Oryzias latipes: one gene and its partner. The protein of the gene in region 1 interacts with the protein of each later gene in a biochemical or structural test. Links are inferred from orthologs where the notes say so. Each region holds a gene or a part of one and is shown on either strand. Other genes may lie near its edges.

Region 1 (3,481 bases):
CTAAAACATCCTTTTGGTTTCCAAATTTGAAGCTTAACAAAGCACTTTTCGTTTTCTAAACATCCAATACCCTATAAAAAGTATAAAACCAAATTTTCTGTTGGTAAGAAAAAGTAAATTATAACCAAGCTCCATCCATAAACTAGGTATATGGCTCACTAAGTGAAATCAACCCAACAACTTGTATATCTTAAAAACAGATTTCTTTTTTTTCTCCTTTTTTTAATGGACCGTGAGAGTCCAACTTGCTCAAATCCAAGCCCCAGCAGACAGCATCTTTACAATAAACCTTTTAAACTGGGACAGGAGGTTATTAGTTACTAGATTACGGAATAAATGACCAGAACTGGAGGTGATCTGGATGTAGTTTATGTACACGGGCAGAGAAGTAACGGGGGCCATGATGAAAATATCATACAGCAGTTTTGTGTAGCAGAGAAATTAAACCTTCTGCGTGGAATTCTGTCGGCACAACTGAGAGTCGCAGAGAGCCAGCTGCTGGGTGGCGTGGCATGCTGGCGAAGTTGAAGAGGAGGCTGGCAGCATGTGTGGCTGATTAAATCCGGCCCCCCGTCTGCTGTTGAAACACATCAATTGTATCTTCATCTTCCATTTCCAACTGTTGATAAAAGGGGACAAAGTGTCATACATACAGACATACCTTTCAGACATTTAAATACATCTAATCTTTAAAATAAGAGGGGAAATTCTCTACAATAAAGGGGGCAAAAAAAAGCAAATGTCATCATGTTCCATTCATGTGGAATGTGACCTTGGGCTGACACTCTGCCCCCTGGGCATATCAAACCCCAAAGCTGCATCAGAAATGACAGTGCGGGATGTTTTTATGACTACAGCATGCACACAGATTTGCCTTGAACAGCAAAAATACCACTTTAACCTCAAACAACAATGGTGTGGTTACAATAATACAATCATAGAAGTTAATTCAGTGCATGTGCGTTGGCCGTCGTAACAAACTCTACAAGTGGATAAAGGTTTCCGTCAGACATCTGAATGTAGATGATAAATCCTCTCTGCCTGTGGCAGAACAAGTTTCCCATGGAAGCGCTATTATCTGGCATCAAGACATCAAGCACGGCAAGCTGCTGCTTGAGGATATGAAATACCTGCATGGCCAACAAGTTTATTCATTTACACTTCAATATTCGGAGGGTTTTCTGTTTGCTCTAAACTGCAGTGAAGTTCTAGCCCAGAAAGCAAAAAAAAAATAAATAAAAAAATGGAATAAAAACCAAAAAATAAAAGAAGTAAATGGCCTGGTTTTCGTTAGAAATCAAAGAGTTTCTTAACCAAAATGTGAGTGTTATCTTGTTCTGGTTGCATTACTAAGAGAAAAATAATAAAAGAAATAAAATGAAAATAGGTAATAACAGAATCACATCATGGGTCTTAAACAAAAGAAGCCTAAAACATATGTGCTCATTTCTACAGAGATTCATGGCTTATTGATCAAACCCAACAAAAGAACCTCATGAATGTTTTAAACCTAATACATTAATTTAGAGGCTGCATTGATTTAGTCAGACCAGCTTTGGAACAAGAACTAAAAACTAAGGAAGTCCCGATCCGATTCAGAGTCATTTGATTTTGAGTATGTACCGATACCGAGGCCTGATCCGATATTATTGTAACACATAAAAAATGATCAAATGTAATGAAGTCAGGTTATCACAGATTTTTACTTTATTCACTTTCTTTAATTATTTAACACTTAAACAATTTGCCGCTGTGAAATAACTCAAAGAATCAAGCAAAAGTCGTAAAACTTTCAACTACAAAGAACAGTTAACTATAAACTAGTAAAAAATAGGAAATAATTATTCATGGGAGAAAGTTTGGTGACTGTAGCTTTAGTATCCTCAGAATTATTGAACATTTTTGGTTCTTATGTGATTCATACTTGCATTAAAAAGTCATTAAAATTAATGATGACTGTCTTTTAAAATTGTTGTTGTAACATAAATATTTATGAATAGCTCATATCAATGTAACCATTTATCAGTTTTAGTTTTTTTTAAATGGATTTCTTTTTTTTTTTCATTTTTAAATAACTTTTTCCCAGAGCTTTCACCTTTCACTGCCGACTTTCTGTCAGCAGCACGGAGAGAGCAATTCTCATTAAAAAGTAACCAAAGCTCGATCCCTTTTCTTTTTAAACGCCTTTCTAAGTTGTTGTTTGAGTTGAGACAATGACACTCGCTGTCAGTTTAAAGTGCTCATTTAAGAATTATTGAGCCTGAAGGTCCAAATCTGTGAATATCTTGCTAACCTTCTCAAACTGTCTTTCAGCGCCTCCTAGCCTCATTGTCTGCTGCACTTTATGGCAGTAAAACGTTGGGATCCGGTCAGAATTTGAAGACATCTGGTAAAGTGTTTATCTGTAAAGTTAAGATTGAAATATATAATAATGATAAAATAAATATCCGAGTCCTGATCTGATCGCAACATCGGATTCCAATCGAGTTTGAAACTACGTGATCACATCGGGACACCCCTGCTAAAAAAGATGAAAGAAATATTGTTCAGCCAATTCATCAAGATTTGCCTAATTTATGTTGCAAGTATTTAGCATAAATAGATAGATATAGCTAGCTAGCCTACAAATCTACTCAACAAGCTATTTATCTACCTATCCATTACTTTTATCTTCATCCACCCATATAAAGGATTTTTGTTATAACACGTTTTTGGGATAAACTCCACTGGCAGCAGGTTTTGCATATCATCAGTCCTACCTGTGCAGGTGTGTCTGTCTCATTTATTGGCTGTCCGTCGAATCTGAACCTTATTTGCCTCATTGAAAGTCCCTGCAAAGACAATACTTATTAATTTGTAGCAAAAGGCCTGCTTTCCGTTAGAGTGACTGGAACACATTTCCTGTTCATATACATAAAAAAAGCAAAAATTGTGTGGTTCTATTAAAAAAAACAATACATGTAATAAATGTATTTATTCATAGTTAATATACTAATTAATATGTATAATGTCACATGTTATGTATTATTAGCACAGACGTGAGACACTGAAGGAAAGACTGTTTTCCTACAACAGGTCAGAGTTGATTCACATTACACTGACAAACACACACATGCTGTGTCATACAGAGAAAATCAAGCTGTAGATTAAACAATAATTCAGGCTTTCAACTATTAGAACCTCATTTAACTTATAGGTTACATTTTCAGTGAGTAGAGAGAATCCCAGATCCTAAAGGGATAAGATAAGGAGTTTTTTGTTATTATTTAGAAAGATGTGAAAAGATGTAAACATTTCATGGTAATCGAGTTATAATCCTGAAAAACAACAGCGTTTATGAACCCGTTCAAAAAAAACAAAGCAAAAAAAAAAAACTGCTGCGGCGTTTACAAGCCAATACAAGAGCTACGAGCAATATTTTATATTTGGGTTCAGTTAGCTCTAACTTTTTTATAACTCAATTAATAATTCAATGAAACAC
Region 2 (3,579 bases), on another chromosome or scaffold:
TTGAAACTGATTCGATTTTACTCTACAACCTGCTCTTTCAAGATCAAAAAGTCCTCCTCACCTCACTGGTAAGTCTTCTTCTGCCCCCTGCAGGTATAATAGAAAAATGCAACACTGGCATTTTAATTGTTCCACACAATTTTAGGTGAAAAAGCCGATTGTTTTAAATTGTAAATTTGTCTAAAAGTTCAAAACTACTTGAAAACCTTAATGGCATTCGCTTCTCCATGTTTTTCTCTTTGAATGAGAAATAGAATATTAGCTCACATTACAATAGATCTGTTGAATCCATTCTTAATGTCAAAATTTTTAATTTGATTTAATATGCAGATGGACACTTAAAAGCTCAATAATTCACATCTGATGTCAACATAATGTCCATTTATCAATATGAAGCTTTTTTTTATGTTGTCAAACTCTAGAAGCCCATTTAAATTAAATTGCAATTTAAAAGTTGTTGCAATACCACACAGAAGTATTGACAACCAAAGGACAATCCTTAAACGGCTCACTAAGGATCAAAAACATACAACACAGAAGTGAAGTTGTCTCAATAGCATTGAGGAAAATGCTTTATTTCACAGGTCAGAAAAAACAGAAAACCAGTTTTGGAGGGCCCATTGAGAAAAAAAAAAGTCTTTGTTTTCAAACACGGTTATTCAAAGTCATTTCTGCTGCAAAGTAAGCACATGTGGCTGAAAGTCCATAGTTTTGATGGGGGGGCACAGAATTCCTCTAAATGTCAGCATCCTCTCACTTGAAGATCTTCCCCTGGTTGAAGGATTTCCCCACATGTTTGAATTCTCCCTCCCAGGCAAAATACTCTTTGACCATGGTCTTGCACTCATCGCTATCTGGATCCAACTTGCGCCAGTCGTAGGATTCGTAGTCAATCTGCCAGTCTTCAGAAAGCTAAGAATGACAGGAAGCACATGTTTATCCAGAACCCCAGCATCTAATCTCTGAATCAATAAACCATTTGTCAGATTTTAATAGTCTCCTTTAGCCACACATCTCTGTACCTTCAATGCATTAAAGGGCTTATTTCATACAAACTCAACTTTTTTTTAACTTTTAAGGGCATTATAATCTTCATTCCTCACGAAAAGAAATCCTAAAGTGGTACTTTGATAAGTTCAAGCATTTCTGAGTATTCCTCTAAAAACGAGCGGGTCTTCACGATCTGACATACATAAGTGATCAACAGCACTTTCTAGGAGGAGTCTGCGCTGCCAGCTCCGCCTCCAGGCTAACACACACACACACAGTGGAGCTAGCATTGGTCGGCAAAAACGCTTTCCCATTACATGCACATATAATAATTTGTTCTTTATGATCATACCCATATCTATGGATATAGTTTACCCTGAAAGGCCTAAGAAAAAGTAGAATTACAGACCCTTTAGTGCAGATATAGGTTGAACAGATTCCACTTGTAGCAACAGCATGAACCAGTCTAACTCACTGAATCAGAGATGACTGGGATGAATGGAGCTATTATTTCTTTTCCCCAGTCAGATTAAGACTTAGTGCCATATCTGGACACCGCCTTGCCCAATGACAGGGGAAATACAACTCATCTCGTTTTTGCCTTAAACATTCAAAGGAATTTCAAAGGCATCCGTTTCCCTCCATACATGTATGCAGCATGCAAAATGAATATTTTCTGGAAGCTTTCAAATCACAATTCTGAAGTCTATATTTCTGCACTTACGGTGAAAGCCAGCTCCTGTCCTCTGAACACCCAGATGCCTGAGATGGAGCTGTCATTGTTGGTGCCAAACAAGATGACACTGGCAAAGGCATTCTTTCTCAGTTTGTCCAGGCGTTGGAACATACCTATGAACACAGAGTTTTTAGACATTGTGGCAGCGTTTTCACAGAACAAAGTCATAGCAGAGTAACTGCAGCTGTGGGTTTAAGAGTAACGTCTGCAGTAATCTACACAGACTTGATCAACACCAGAATATTGTACAGAAAATAAACGGTACAATGTGACCACAGCATGAACCAGCTTGTTTCTCACTGAACCAGAGATGACTGGGATGAATATGGTCTTCATTTCTCTTCCCCTGACAGATTAAGGCTGAATGCCAAAACAGGACACTGCCTTGCCCATTGACAGGGGACATTTTTTCATCATTAAACATGAACCAATGCAATACATGAAATATGTACAAATGCATTACATTTCAAAAATTCACTGTATTGATTTATATATAAAAAAAGACGTTTGAAACTATACCTTTTTTTATTTCAGGGATGTGTTTACAGCATTTAAGCAAATGAAATAAAAGATTAAGATCTGTTGTAAAAAGTACATATTCATTCTGTAAAGAGTAAAAAATCTTTAAAAAAAATGTATGCAGGTATTTTCAAACTAAAATAGATCATGATATTTACAAGGTTAACAGTGAAACTACTGCTATTGTTTAAAGCTGAGGACTTGCAAAACTGTGTTAAACTTACAGTTCTACATTTAAAGAGCAAAAGAGAGGGTTCACACACACATCCATTCCAGGGTGAGGTGTGTACAAATATTTAAGTGATTTGGCAGGTCTTGAAGTCCCGTTTAAAACCAACACACCCATGGCTTTCCCAGTACATCACTAGACTCACCGGTCATTGTTTTTAGACAAACATGCAGGATTTCAACACTAAAAGAAAAGTGGTAAAGGTGTGTGTAGATATCCATTTGGCAGGCAAACATATTTGAGAATACAGGAAGTGATAGGAAATGGGGCCAAAATACAATTAAAAACATTTCTGATCTTACTTTTTCAACAAAATAAACTTTACTATCAGTTATAACACATAATCCAGAAACCGTTTGAAGGGTGCAGCTCCTTTGTGTTGATCAAATAGATATACAGAATAAGCCTACTAAACTTATCCCTGCATTTGATCCACCCTTTGGACAAACCAGTTTTAAAAACCAAAACTGCAACACATTCACTTCAAGGGATGAGTCTAAAAACTAAAGGGTTGGTGCCATAGCAACATCACCATTTAAGTTAAAAATTGATTTGAAAATAAATGAAGAAATCACCAAAAATATCAATGCTTAGAACAAGTTCTTAAGCGAAGAGTGTTATGCACAAATTTCTAATTAAAATGTTACACTAAAATCCCCTACATGGTCTCCTTTATCTTCGTGTTACTGACTAAACAAACATTCCACTACTTTTATGGAAGATGCAAAAAGTAATGAATTGACAATACACCAGCCAACCCCTTTGGTCTCACCTGTAATAAGGTTGCAGCTCTTGAAGGTAAGTGTGAGTTCTTCTGGGTATTTGTACTGACTGTACCAGATGGAGTAGCCCTCGCGGTCAAAGTGCTCCCAGAAGTGAGGAATTGCTACAGTCAAGGTGTCCTCGTTGGAGTACTTTCTCTTGAACTCGTCAAAGACAAATGTGCTTTTAAAACAGAAACAAACAACACGGAGATCATTGTTCTGCTCTTAACTAAAGCAGAATTAAGACAGCAGACCATAAATGCAATTACAAAAACATCAAAACGAAGCCCAACATGATGAATGTCTACCATTGTTTTACATTTACAACAAACAAATGTCAA

What was found. The genes of interacting proteins can lie anywhere in the genome.
Region 2: the proteins of sumo2 (region 1) and eef1g form a complex in vitro, tested with the Homo sapiens proteins (2 studies listed by BioGRID). The link is inferred for Oryzias latipes from reciprocal best matches to the Homo sapiens genes SUMO2 and EEF1G.

Annotation. Positions count from the first base shown.
Region 1 is NC_019866.2:13,026,866-13,030,346, reverse strand, and holds the end of sumo2 (small ubiquitin-related modifier 2), read right to left. Parts: intron 2,832-3,481; coding exon 2,760-2,831; intron 620-2,759; coding exon 557-619; 3' UTR 540-556; downstream 1-539. UniProt on the Homo sapiens protein: Ubiquitin-like protein that can be covalently attached to proteins as a monomer or as a lysine-linked polymer.
Region 2 is NC_019868.2:13,730,047-13,733,625, forward strand, and holds the end of eef1g (elongation factor 1-gamma), read right to left. Parts: intron 3,420-3,579; coding exon 3,247-3,419; intron 1,840-3,246; coding exon 1,715-1,839; intron 913-1,714; coding exon 754-912; 3' UTR 541-753; downstream 1-540. UniProt on the Homo sapiens protein: Probably plays a role in anchoring the complex to other cellular components.